Linked DNA regions of Lepisosteus oculatus. The protein of the gene in region 1 purifies or fractionates together with the protein of each later gene. This does not show direct contact. Links are inferred from orthologs where the notes say so. Each region holds a gene or a part of one and is shown on either strand. Other genes may lie near its edges.

Region 1 (7,153 bases):
CTTAAACCACTTTGTCTACTGCTCATTCAAGAACTTCACGTCAAACGTTATGTGAATGCTTTAATATAACTCTTTTAACCAGTCTATGAATCAAACAGGTGACCCATCATGCCACAGATTGCCAGACGATTTTTCTTATAATAGCTTTGAATATTTTTATCTTCCACACAATAAGGGAAAATGTACAAAGTACACAAGCTCAGGTGAACTAACTGGCACTTGCTTTTCCTGAGCATGATGGGTTTTTTTGCCAAATTAAACAGCGGAAATATTCAATTAACTAAGCAGCCAAGTCTACAGTGCCTCCTACCTGGGGCCTGACCAATAAAGAGAATTTTGATCAAATTGATCTAAAGATCATATACTGCTATAGCAATGATGGAATCAAAAAACATTACTTGCTTACCTTTGTGATTTGAATTCTTTCATTATATCCAGAAATTTGTTGTATATCCCAGGATCATTACCAAACCGAATTTTAACTTGGTCCAGATATGATAAGGCATCTTCAACCTAAAATTAGAAAGCAAAATCTCATTTCAACTTTCATTTTTTTCCCCCCAAAAGACCCATTAGGTTAAATTACTTAAACTTTCTGACACCACTTCCAGTTAATGCTGATGACAGTAGTTTTCAAAACAAATATTTAGATTTGTTTTTAAATGAACAATTTAGAAAAACTGTTTTAAAATATGTCATGAGATACAGAAATGTGGAAACTAACACAATAATTATTATACACAAGGTAATAACAATTTAACCATTACCCTTTTAACAATAAGCATAGAAAATGCTGACAGAAGCAGCAAAAAACTAAATATTGTAAACATCCTGCATTCAGGCAATACAGAAATGTTTAAGTTCACATTTAATCATTTGTCAAAATAGTTTATTTTACACTAATCTAATTTTACAAAAAGATAAAAAGATTATTTTAATTATACATTTACAACATGATTTAACCTTATGTCAAATCCTTCAGAAATGTTTTTAAGAACAAAATTAAGTGCTCATCTTCCTATCAGCTCCTACTAAAATCTGAATAGAAACATATCCCCCTGCACACAGTACACCAATGTCATCAGTCCTTGCAATAAAACATAATGATGGAGCGAATCACTTCATAACTCAATTAAAAAATGTTGGAAGTGCAGGAAAATGTTTGTGAAAATAACAGATTTGGTGGCCATGTCCCATTGTTGCAGAAGCTGTAGGCTCACTGGCTGCACAGTTGCTCTTCTCATCATGACTAGCAATTCTGCTTATTGATCCTTCAAGCCTGGCACAGCACTGGGTCAAAAAACACTCTTTTTTTTTTTTTACCAGTCTCCAATACTATGCGATAGGATAGCCACTAGACCATTAGAATTGAGAATGACCTATATTGATGGAATTCACGTGAAACTGCTCAAGTTGATGGCATTTAACACATCACCTTTTTATCTGATCAAAGATATACCTTTTATGGGCAAACTGGAAAATAACATAAGGCGAATAATATGCAATTGTAAAATACAAAGTGAAAAGTTTTTTTTTTTTCCATCTGGGCTAAAACCCTAGCCCACGTTGGCCCTTTTTTGTCAGTGCAAGAGATCCTATAATCCAGACCAGTCAGTTCTCTGAACGTCTGACGATAAATGCAAGAGCAAATGAAAACCATCGGGATCTGATTTGAAATAACAGCATTGCTTCAACACAGGTCATTCTCAATTCTAAATTGTTTTTTAATGCCTAGATATCCCTGAACATCCTTCCTTTAAAATACACGTCAATGCGGTAATTGTCTCTAGAGCGTATTAGTAACCTTTTTCTTTTTATTTAAGAATTAAAAAAGAGAGAGCATGCTATACTGGCTATTACTGTGGGATTATATTTTCTCCATTACAACAAAGATCAGAAAAGAAAATCGCAGTATAAACCTGAAAAAGACTTGAAGAAGATACCTCTTAGCAGAAGTGAGTGTTATTACCCTAATGGTTTGTATCCCAGAGTTATCGAGACAATACAGTAGAACAAAATGTGACAAAAACACAGTTACAGAAAAGCTTGGCAAATTTTTCAACCCGAGCATTTCCTTTACATAATTTTCCTTCCAAAGTTTTAAACTTCAGTGCAATTGATTAAAAAAAAACAATTACAACCAATGTACATAAAGTGATGCACAGTGGCGAAGAAACGTGACCGTTTTGAAGTGTGCTCACAAACCCTCTCCAGGTCGACAGCAAAGCCTAGTGAGCAATCTGCATCAGTTACTATAACCAAATCTGCACTGTGTATAAGATCTCCATTGCATTTCATTTAAACAGAAGCACCTTTTGTCTCGTCAGCCCGTAGGAATGAATATATGGGGGAAAAGACACACAGCTCTGTAGGATCCATTTAACAAAGAAAGTACCGTAAAAAGAATTGTAGAAGAAACGAAAATACAGTTAAAAAAACGGCTCCGTTTGATTTTTGACTAGTTTTTAATAATCCACTACACATCTCACTATTGCTAGTTATATTAGTTATCTTCTGGGAAAGATCTCGCTCAGCTGCGTTTGCTCACCCGAATCATGCATCTCGCAGGCTGACCACATCGCTGAACAAACAGCAAGAAGACATTTTCTGTTTTTCTTACCTTCAGTTTCTGAAAGTGTTGTTGCTGGACTTGTTTCTGCACTACATAGGCCTTGTCCTGGATGTGTTTGATTTGCGGCATGTTGTTATGAGCTCGAATTTTCGCCATTGTCCCCTAATTCCTCAGAAAATATCTTGGCCTGCGAGTGAGGAGAAGGAGGGGGGCGGAGGGTCCCAGCTATTTAAAACGCCATTGTTAGTACACACTGACAGATATACAACTCACGTTTAAAATCGACTGAAACATCGAAGAGTAAGACAACGAATACTCAGAGAATCGCCCCAAAGCTAAAAGGGGATAATAAAAAAATAATTCTGTCTCTTTAAATTCGGCGGCGGGGTGCAGACTTGGCGTCCGGAAACAGAAAAAAAGACCCAGCGCGCCTGCGCAGAGCAAAAGCATTCCCGCGCTCGGCGCTTTCTGCGCATGTGTGAAGTTTTGCCACTTTCCTCTGGAACTTGTCAGCTGAGACGTTGGCGTCATATGTACTGTAAAAAAAATATTACGATCCCCCGCTCCCTGGACGGTATAAGCAAAGAGGAGTAATTGCTTGCATAAATTCCATATTTTTTGTAACCCAATTTTATCCACTTTTAGTTACGTACAGCACACACCTTCACTTATAAACAGCCTTTAAAACATATTGGGACAGCAAAGTCAAAACTCATTTTTGCTTTAAGTTTCAGCAATTTGCTCTTGAGTTGATGAGATTAACATGAATTATAAAGCCAACAATCTAAGTTTATTGTTCTGGTACTTTCACACATGCCTTTTTGTGTACTGTTCTGTTCTGGTTTGTTCTTTGTGTGTTCTGGACTGAGTAACTCTCATCTATATATTACTACTTGGTAAGCTATAAAGATTGCGTCATCTAAATCATCATTTGTATGCCAATGATACTCAGATCTACAGACATAGATGGATGTACTTGGTTATGTGCGAATATGGCTGTTCTCAAAGGTTCTCTGCACTGGTAGTACACTCATATACTACAAGTATTAGTACATGGTACATGGTATGAAATTTGTCTGTGTGGATTATTTTACAGCTTGTGAATGTTCTAATCGCCACTCAGTTCAGTGACATGAGAAACCTAAAGAGGAGATGATACACAGTGGCACTGATACATGGGAGATGTATACATTTAGTATACATTTACACTGACATGCTTACAAAGAGTACATACACACAGATATTGATGGTCTGAGACAGAAATGAAGGTTAATATGCAGAGTTAGATAAATTACAAGCCACTTGAAATTGCAGTGAGTTTTGACATTTTTGTGATATCCTTTGATTTTTGTTATTTCCTGCCACTTCACACTTCACATACTAGATAAGATAAATAGACTGGTTAGACAGACAAGATAAAGGTGTCTAAATAAATATTTCTTCAAATGTGAGTGCCTGACCAGACTGGTTTTATAGTTTGTTGAAACAGTATTTAGAAAAAAAAGGTTTGAAGAAATCAAATATTTTTCAAATGTTAAAAAAGCCTTGGAACACATTTAAAAATGGTAATGTGTGTGACAGTTACCAGTGACTCTTAGTATAACACGGCAGTGCAGTGAACTCAGGTGCAAGGCAGAGCAAGCAACAATCACGCAGGTAGTTATAGGTAAAGTGCAATCCAAGTAATAGTCAGGAATCAGACAGGGTTTGTAGCCAATTGGAAAGCAAAAAGAAAACTAGCACTGAAAGCTGTGATAAAAGTGGCAGAGATCAGGGACCAAGGACAGATAGGAACAGACAGAGGGTGAAGTTGTCTAGTTGGGATTATCTTGGCTCTGTAGCATGATGGCACACTAGATAAACCACCTGTGTCTGTTAAGTCGTTTGGCTCCTTCTGTGTAGGCAAAGTAAAACCATGAAATGTTGAGTTGCCCATCCATCAAGTGTCTCTATTCATCAAGGACAGGCTTAACTGCCAAATTTTCTTGTCGCCAAGGTTATAATTTTGCTCACCCAAAGAAAACTTCCTGGAAAAAAAGGCACATGGGTGGATAGATTTGAGGACAATGATGGCAAGTAGAGTAGGTTTGTCTGAAGTACAGTGGCCACATACCTGGATTGTTAAATTGGGGAATAAAATCAAGCCTTTTGTATCACCTTCCAGGTGTTATGGGACTATACATCTCATACATAACACGTGTAAAGCCATGCTAGAAGTTTGATTAATGAGGGACTGCTGGTAAATTATATGGTGTCAGAATCAAACACCTTTGTTGAGGCCAGAGGACAAAAAGGTTAGAAAAGCTTTGATAAGAATATAGCAAATGTGTCCAATACTGGTCTTTGAGGACCAGTATCTGTTGGTTTAGGTCGCCACAAAATTTGTGTTTATATAAAATAGTATGTACCTAAAGAGCTGGATGAAGCTTTTCAATTAGCAAGTAAGTGAATAAAATGAATAAATTAATGAATAAAATTACTTAAAATAAAATTAGGGGCATCGGCAGAGACAGAATTTATTATTAACACTGACAATATATTCAGCTGCCTTTTCTGCATTGACGCAAGGATGGATATACACTAACACAAAAATGTTGCAGGAATTCACAAGGTAAGTAGTTTGGGTGAAGAGCAACAACCAAAACCTCTTGATCTGATACGCAGAGCTCCTCTTGCACTACTGCAGTTTTACACCACTTCTAATTAATGTACAGACAAACACCATTCCCTTCTCTCCTCACTGGTACTGTCTTTATTTATATCAAGGTGGATTAGAGATTCAAAACCATCAATAAACAAGTCCTGGTTAGAGACTTGGTTTTTTAGCCACATCTCTGTAAAAGCTACAACAGATTCCTTTACCCTTGTTGATAATTGAGTTGCAGTTCATCCAGTTTGTTCCACAATGAGCGTACATTAATCACAATAATTAGTGAACATGTACAGTAGACAATATGTCATTGCATACTCAGTGTGAAGAGGCCAATGATGTGTTATATTACCAAACAGACAAAACTCACTAGCCGAATTTTTGAACAGGGTTAGAAACAGCAAAGATAAAAAGACCCTGACAAAGTACAGGCTCAATGACCACAATCTGGCCATAGAAACTGGGTGACAGGCAGACCTGGCTGCCCAGAGAGGACAGGCTGTGCTTCCACTGCCAGCAGGGAGAAACAGAGGCAGACATGCACATCCTACTGGACTGGGAGAAATATTCTGGGATTAGACAAACATTGTTCCCCAAAATAAATCTCAGAATTCTCACACCTGCCTGAATCAGAACAGCTCCCAATCCTATTTGGAGAGGGATGAGGGAACTCAACTGAGCTCGTAGCACAGTAGGTGATCTCCTGTCACAGCCTGAGGAGCAGTGAGCCTGTTTCCCTGTAATGTTCTAAGTGTTATATGTTGTATGTAAATCTCCTATGATGTACAGTATTTGAATTGCTACTGGCTGTGGTAGATTACAATGGAGGTCTCTCTAAGAATCTTGACACAATGGGTAATAACTAGTGTCAATATTCCAATTTACTAGAGCTTCAAACTAAGGGATTTTTACTTGGTTGTTCTGGGTGTGAGAAACACTGATCAAAAGAATCTTCTGGTTTTAGTTAATTAAATTCTCGATTGTCAATCGACAGTCCAGAAAGACACCAAATAAGATCAGATCAAGACAGTGAAAAGAATAACAGAAAAGAAAAGACCACAAGGGAGAAGACAGGAGGAGAGGACTTAAAGTCTCAGCCATCTGAGCTCCTGTCAAACAGTTCCTTTATTTGAGATAATCTGAAAAGACTCGATTGAAGCTAAGTATTTGAACCTTGCTAAAGAGAGCTTGCTATTCTGTATTAAGGAATTTGGATTTCCTGAGTGAAGAATACCTTGGTTAAAAAAGGCCTTTCATGCTTGGTGGATTTTTTGAATAGGGAGAAAGGCTTTCTAATTTTTTGTAACATCTGTAGATGTTGTATTGACTGTCCTGTATATGCTTTAACAACACTGTAATTTACCTGTTTGAATTTGAAGTAAACTGACTACTGCTCAGATTCGTATTACAGCTAAAAAAAGGAAATGTAAAAAGTGCTCATTAAAATTACAACTGTTTAGGGGTTAAACATAAACTCACGGTAAAGAAACAAATTATAACAGAAATATGTTCTTTAGCAGTTTTATTTGGAATGTGTTGTATTTGCACTGCCTGCTGCTTACATTGCCTCTTTGGAATGAATAAAAGTTTGAATGGAATCAAATCAAGAAAATGAGAGAAAAAAAATTCACAGACATCAGTGTCTTCCTGTTGCACAGAAGCATTTTGGTGTAGTGCTAACACATACCATGCAAAGCTTTCAGAAAGGAAATCATATAGTAAAAGTGTTAAAAGTAAAAAAGGGAGGTACTGTAGTGTACAATGCACTAGCACAACTACATTTAGAATATTGTGTACAATTTTGGTCATGTCATGAAAGTAGTATTGCCGCTCTTAAATTAGTCCAGACAAGAGTAACCAAATGAATTATTGGAGCTTAAACTAAGGATGTATGGTGTGTGGGTTCACATGTTTTCATTTGATTTCAGCTC
Region 2 (7,557 bases), on another chromosome or scaffold:
TAACGTTTCTCTCCACGACGCTATCCTACCAAACACAGCAGCTGTACGAGAACGGAAGTTCACGTGTGCCAAAATAAGAAATGTTCATTTAAACTAGCACTATTAAATCTCCTAAAAGTACAGAGAACGGGGGACATTTGTACAGAAAAATAGGTCGTGACGTTTGACGCTCAATTTCAACGCGATCATTATTTTTTTATTTTTCACTCCTGTCCGCGAAACAATTTAAACCGATTTCGAAACCAGACGGGGCTCCCACTGTCCCTGAAATAAAAATGAATGAGCAAGACAAACAAAAAGAATACGGCAGCTTTTTTTTTTTAACTTTCGGTTTTCGGCGTCATTTCCAAACGGCTCGGTTACAGACGCGATCGAGGAGGGCAAGGAGAGAGAGAAAAGGAGGGATAAAATGAAAAAGAAGAACTATTTTGACACGGGTTGAGGACGGGGAGTAATGTCTGCTGTGTGTGTGTGTATCAGTGCAGGCAGCTAAGTGGATGACGCCATTTCTGTATCACAGCAGAAACACATTTCGCCAACAACACGACACTAGTACGGTAGAGAAAGACGCACACACAAAAAAATCCGTCATAACAACGCCAAGTGAAAGACAGCGAGAAATAAAATTAATCCATATCGCCCTTCTCTTATTTCTCCCCCGTCAGTCGAGGTGTACTGTCTTTTTGTCTCAACCAACTGACAGTTTCTCAACGGAATAACAACCTCACTCGCGCAACCTGCGGATGATGATGGTGACGATAATAATAACAACAACAACAAAAAAATAACACTACAGCTGTAGCAGCTCGATAAAAGCCAGCAAGCGTGTGTGTGGGGGGATTTTTTAAGTCGATTTTTTTTTTCAGGAATCCCCTGTTGGCACTCTCTCCGAGCAGCACAGCGTGATACACATCATCAGATCGGAGGGCTGGTGAGGTTAGGAAAGGGACCGGAGGAGGAGGAGGAGGAGGAAGAGGAGGAGGGGGAGGGAGGGGACAGACGGGCTGGTTTCTTTTGTAGGGTCTCCGTGAAATCTGAAATCGTTAACTTTGATTTGCCAACCCAAGAGGCTGCCAAAACGCACCGAAGTACACACACAGAGCGGCGGACAAAAACCCATCGAGCGATTTCCGCGTTCAAACGCAGACGAGGGAGGGAGAGAGAGAGGGCTCCTCTGTCCGAGGCTGTTTCGGTTGCACATTTTCGCTGACTCCCCAAACTACAACCCCGACGCCTCTCCCACGGCGTGAAACGGCAAACGAGGATTTTGTTTTTTAAAGAAACAACAACAACAACAACAACAAAACCCACCATGAACAAGGCTAAACTAAACAAAGTGACACGGGCTCAAAAACCTAAACCGACCTCCCCTCACCGCCGCCGCCGCCGTCGTCTTCACCGACTTCGAGAGACGGAGGAGCAGCCGGGGACCGACTGCGGACGAGCAGCAACCATTAAATCCGACAAACCAGGCACTACAATGTCACCCCGCTTAATGTAATCCAGTCGTTACTGCTGGCGAGAGAGTGTGTGTGTGTGTTTCTGGGGGAGAGTGCTCACGGCTGGACTGTGCTTGAAAATCAGCTGTCGAAAACAACGCTGAGCCTAGTCTCATTTCTCACCCCCCCTCCGCAAACCTCCCAACCGCTCCGCTAGTTGCTTTATTGCAACGATTTAAAAATATGTTCTACTCCTGGTCGTTTATTTTTCTCTCTTTCGCCTCCCCCCCCCCTCCCACGTCAGTCCGGGCTTTAATAAGATTTTGTTTCTGTTCTGGCGAGCACGGCTGCGGGTTGTAGTATAAAAGAGGGGAGCAGGGAGGGGAAAAAAAATATTAATTAAACGTGACCGATGGGGTGGAAGACTGGAGCAGCAGCAGCAACAGCAACAACAGCAGCAGGAGCAAGGAAAAAAAAACCACAGAGAAAAAAGATCGGGAATACAGGCAGGCGACCTACGCGACCGTAAAAGCCAACTAATGGAGACATCCAGAGTCAGAGGAGACTCGATCGCTGGGCGACAGCAAGTCGTCTCTGGAGGAAAGGAAGTCGGTTTCGGGGCAATTTCATCGCTGTCTGCAGAATCCGAGGAGCTCACTTATGTAAGACACGGCTTTTTTTTCCCCCTCTTCCCCACCAAAAAAAAATCAGATCCGATGCCTCGCGTCAAGAAACTCCTTTCTGCATGATCGGGGTTTTTTTTTGGTGGGGGGTGGTGGTGGAGATACATTCCTCCATAGCCGAGTGTAACTCACACACCTTCAAGCCAGCTAAAGCTGACAGGCGAAAGAATAAGACGAGCGAATGCAAATAATTGATAGATTTGTTTCTGGACTGGCTAAGCAGCAGGGTCGACAGCGCTCACTACGGACAACGCTGGTCTTTTCCACTCCACCCCCCACCTCACCTCCAGTTTTCCTAGTCTAAGATTTCCCTAGTCTGTCCCCCCGGCGTTAGGAAAGAAAATCAGCAAGTGCCCAAATGATCTGCATCTTTTTTTAGGGGAAAAAAAAGAATGGGCAGCAAACAAACTTCACGCGATCTGTTTATTCCTTACCGAGGAAGTCCAGTTTTCGATTTTTTTATCCTCTCTTCTTGCTGGTGCAGTAATTTAATCCTCCATGAGCTCATCGAAAAGCAAGAGCAAACGGACTTGACGGTTATTTTTGTAGTCTTTTTTTTTTTCTTCCCCCCCACCAGCCCCGGGATGCGTATCCGACACAATCGCTCCTTCTGTAGGACTCTTTCTGTGTGCTCCTCTCCTTCTGAAACAGACTGACGGACTCCCCTAAGAAACGCCCTCGATGACTGTCAAGCTTTATGATTGGCTATCTGCTGCTAGTGTCCGCCCCCTACCGACTACCATTGGTCGGTCTTGCCAAGAAAATGACGTTATTTTCTAACGGTACTATGGTAACAAAGAGTTGGGAGCGCTTGGGATATGTAGTTCTCAAAAGAGTAATCTGCAGTACACAACACTAGTGTTTCAGATGACGATCATCGGGCGCTCCGAACAACAACTCCCAGAAAGCTTTGCAACGTGCAGAAAATATCCGTCCCCCCCCCCCCTCCCCGGCCATTATGCGCTTGCTCGGTGGAGAAGCGATGGCGTATATAGCTTGCTGTGAATGCGGATGAGCAAGGAGTAGGCTTGGCTCTTAAATTACGAGGCAGGGTAAGGTGTTTTAGGTCGTTTTGTAAGTCAAGTGCGGTAACAAAGGAGGGGCTCAACGATCTTCCCCCTCTTAAGTGGGGTTTTCGACGCGTAAGAAATATTTGGATGCCGTGATAAATTAATAAAAGGGAAGGTTGCGAGCGGACGTGGGGGAGGAAAAAAAAAGTGACCCGGATTGCAAATTGCTGACCAACCAGGTAGGTGGAGCTTCGTCGATGTGCTCTTGACATCAACAGCAAAAAAAAAATACTGCCTGTTGTGAGAGTTGGTGAGGCCGCCTGCGCCTTGGGGGAAAAAAAACTAACGTTAAGGTGCTCTTTTTTTTTCTACTTGATTCATCATAAAGCCTCTGGGGCTACGTTATTGCACATAAATCCAGCCTTTCAGGCACGGTCTGTTTTTCACTTTTACAGCAGTTGCATGCATGCTCTGTAGAGGATAATCCTCTCTCCTTACATCTAGGCAGTGATGTAAGGGAATTACTCTGCAGTACTGATGTAGTTGCACTCGTGTCATCTGTCAAAGCGAGTCACATGATGACACCTTGCGTGTGTGTTAGTCACGAAAAGTAAAGCTGACGTCTCTTCGCGTTTTTATGGCACAGGGGGAATAATTCCCTAGAAGCTGTCTCCCCCCCAGATCTAAAAATGGAATTGTGAAGGATCTGTAGGTCTTTTTTAGTGAGGATAAATCCTGTTACTGAATGATCACCCTCTTGTGTATTTCAAGAAATGCTGCTGAGTTGTAGCTGGGTCTGGCTATTTTAATAACCAGGTTTTTTAAGCGGACGGATACAGTAATTCTGGTGTATGACAGTAGGCGATTTACGAGGAATGCGGGTATAAACTCTTCCCATTCTAGAGTTGTGTACAGCCGTATTAATCTCCCGGGTGAGGTATTGTGTACTTGCTTTTAGAAAAACTGCAAACGCAAAACATGGAACATACTTTTATTACCTGCGCTTAATAAAAAAGACTTTCATTACGTTGGTTTGAGCAGTGTCGTACAGTATACTGTATAAAGTAGTTTAACCAATACTGAAAAGGTTTAGGTAAGTTGTCTCCTTTGATATTACATACTCCTATTTTTTCCAAAGAACTCTTGTGGTATAAATTTAGCAGTATCCAATCTGGCTTACACAGCCTTGAAAAGAGATCATCAAACCTTAATTATTTAATGTTACATTAACATTTTAACTGGAACTTCAGATAGATGTGTAGGCCAACGGTATTCTGCTCTGGTCCTGCAGTGTCTCTGTAGGTTTTCTCCTAAAGAAGTAATAGTCGAGGAGCTGGGAGAGGTGATAATTGGACTAGTTTAAGACATCAGCAATTGACAGAGGCCAATAAGAACTAAGTGGCATGAAAACCTGCAGACTCACTGGCACTCATGACTGGACCACTGCCTTGGGCTATTTTTGGTCTCTGCATTTTGCTGTGTACAACTGTATTTATGTTTTGTGTAAATGATGCACATGCAGGTAATATTATAGGATTACAATTTTTTTCATCGAAGTGCTGTTGGGTAGACAAGCTGGTTGCGGCTTTGTCAATTCGGTGTTTAATGTTTTCCTGTCTTATCTAAATGCTTTGTAAGTCTGGGCAAATCTTAACGCCTAGCACACCTTTTACTTAACTTAATTCGTCCCTCATTCTGTAATGAAATACTACATCAATGGAAAGTTTGTTCCACCATGTTTGAGGCGCTTGGAGGATTTGTAATTACATAACATACAAGCTTCTAGAACCTTTAAATTTGGTAGAAGAAGGAAACTTGCCAGAGAATCCGGTTGTTAGACTTGCTGTTTACGTTTCTGAAAAATCTTTGCCCTACTGCGTTTACTGTGGAAGCAAGGCACAGCGGGGCTTCGAATGTTGAATACCCTGAAAAAGAAATTGCAAAAGGTCTAATTGGTTAAAATTCCCAGTTATACGAAACTGTGTGGGGGGAAACTGGGTCAGCGGGCTGGGTCGTGTGTAAGTATAATGAGCCTCTGAGTCACTTACTTAAGGATGTGACTTCAAATGTCCTTTCCCACTTCTGTAGGGGTGGGCAAAGATTCAGGTACTCGTGTGTCTCATTAACTTGTTTCTCTCCTCCATCTCAGTCTCGTGTTGCATCCCTTGACTGTTTTCTGCAGTTACCTGCAGAATTCTAGAACCATCGCTCTGACCTACATCCGTGCTATCCAGCTCTCGGGGGGTTGCCGTGGAAGAATGGCGCGCCACCGTGTTGAGCTCCCTCGCGCTGGCACTCCGCTGGTGAGCTCCTGGCCGTGGAGCTTCGTGGGTCTGAGTTTGAGCAGTCTCTTTGCTCCGTGTGGTCGGCGCAGTGCCGGCTGCTGCTGCTGCCCGTATAAATCGGCGTCTTTGCGAGTGACCCTTTTTGGGTTTCAAAGTCGGGCGGGGGTGGGAAAACGTCATACAGGCTAGAGAAACCGTTTTCCCAAGTGATGCAAGTGTTCGTTTCTTTTGCAGAGTTATCCATCTAGTGAATGCTCTTTGTGAAAGAAACCAGCATGCTGAGTGAGGGCACCTGATTTCCTTAGAGCTGTAGGAGATTCACAAAGGGTTTTAAATGTGTGAATACTGGATAATGCAGTCTTTTGCGCACCTGGGAGCGGTCATACAGACTGAACTCCCAATATTTGTTTTTCTCATGTTACAAAAGTAGTGTTCGTACTCTGAATGAAATTAGACGATTTTGCGACTTTGATTCTGTAGCTGAAACTGCTCCAGCAGAACTGCTAATTAAACGGTTGCCGATGTGCAGAGTGCACGCAGGCATTTTTGAAATGCTAATTTGCAGAAGTGGGTTTTGTTGCAGCTTCGTTACAGGTGATCGCTGAACAAAGAGCGTTTTTTTTAAATATTTTTTTCCCTGCCAGATCGCTCAGTTTTGAAACGAGCAGACGCGCTGTGCTGGAAGTGGAATGGTTTGATCTAAGCTGTCATGTTACAGATCACGATTCCCCCCGAGAGGCAGAAATAGAGAAAATGGGCACAAGTGCGTTGTTGTTCTGTGCAGCCGCGACACGAATCATGTGCTGACCTCGCGTGCTACAATAACACCGCATGTGTTAGCTAAGCTGTTGTGCACAGTGGCAGCAGTAACTGAAGCAGCTATCACTGATACAGGTAACAAGACTAGTGCTGCCTTTCATTTCCTGATCTGAGTCTGTTGTTGCACTGATTCGACTTTGCCTTCCTGTTTGTCATACATTTTATTTCTTTTGCGTTTCGAAAGCAAGGCTACAGTATTGGTGTTTAAAAAGGTCAGGTAGGAGTCTGTGCCATTGTCTGGCTTCTTGGTGTCTTAATTAACATTCTTTTGATTTGGGGGAGAGTGATACCGTATTTAAACACGGTGGAGCAGTGGTTGGCATTGTTGCCCTGCAGTGCTGGGGCCCTGGGTTCAATTCTGTGGTGCTGTCTGTGTGGAGTTTGTATGTTCTCCCTATGTTCGTGTAGGTCCTCTGGATACCTCCCACAGTCCAAAAAGTCCAGATTAACTTAACTTGCAGGTTAATTGGCTTCTGGCAGAATTGCCCATGGTGAGCATGTGTGTTTCTGCGTCTGCCCTGCAATGGACTGACGTCCCACCCAGGGTGTATCCCGTCTTTCGCCTGTTGCTTGACGGGATAGTCTCGGGCTCCCCAGTGGCTCTGAATTAGATGAAGCCATTGGAAAAGGGATGAATCTGTTAAAAAAAAAACTGCTTTTTTAATATGAAATACACATGCTATTAAAAAAACGCTACTAATTGCTTAGTGTTAATACCTACCATTAACACCGTTAACTGCGTGCTGTTCAGTTTTATGACTACAAATCAAACTTGCAGTTGCTGCAGGCCTCCCTCTGAGAGTTCAGGTTTGATAACGGATAAGTGGTAACAGTAAAAGCTTCTAAATGTGAAACATTAGTTCAGTTTTATCTGCCTCCTATGCTTTTGGATTGCAGTCATTAAAAGGCTTCATCATCTATTGTATTTTTTTAGGGAAGTTATGCGTTGGTATTTAGGCCTTTAAATATTCTGTTGTGGCTTCACATACATATAGAGGAGTCGCTGGTTTTTGTTTTTGTTTGTAGTTTTTGATCAAGGAGTAAACGTAAATCAAGATTAACTCGTGACTGCTCTGCTCCCAGTGCAGTCTGACAGTCTATTACCGCCTTCGGTAAACGGGTCCGGTGACATACTTGGCTGTACTGCAGCATCTTGTGGTTCACTTACTTGCTCTAGATGTAATCGAGTGTAACTTTACTTGGTTTTTTTTTTTAGATGTGGCTTTTCCTTCTGGATTGGGGACAGACCGGAGAACGTTACAATGACCGGTGGCTTAAACCGTTTTGGGTGTCGCGGTGTTATTTAAATGTTTTTTTAATC

Evidence for each region. Proteins that work in one complex are often made in the same cells at the same time.
Region 2: the proteins of sin3b (region 1) and arid4b purify together in Homo sapiens (affinity purification with mass spectrometry; 3 studies listed by BioGRID and IntAct, with this or other methods). This does not show direct contact. The link is inferred for Lepisosteus oculatus from reciprocal best matches to the Homo sapiens genes SIN3B and ARID4B.

The regions. Positions count from the first base shown.
Region 1 is NC_090724.1:101,609-108,761, reverse strand, and holds the start of sin3b (paired amphipathic helix protein Sin3b), read right to left. Parts: upstream 3,006-7,153; 5' UTR 2,729-3,005; coding exon 2,621-2,728; intron 2,583-2,620; exon of another isoform or gene 2,558-2,582; coding exon of another isoform or gene 2,549-2,557; intron 514-2,548; coding exon 407-513; intron 1-406.
Region 2 is NC_090712.1:6,399,096-6,406,652, reverse strand, and holds the start of arid4b (AT-rich interactive domain-containing protein 4B), read right to left. Parts: upstream 3,023-7,557; 5' UTR 2,557-3,022; intron 2,102-2,556; exon of another isoform or gene 1,599-2,101; intron 1,441-1,598; exon of another isoform or gene 1,366-1,440; intron 1-1,365. UniProt on the Homo sapiens protein: Acts as a transcriptional repressor. May function in the assembly and/or enzymatic activity of the Sin3A corepressor complex or in mediating interactions between the complex and other regulatory complexes.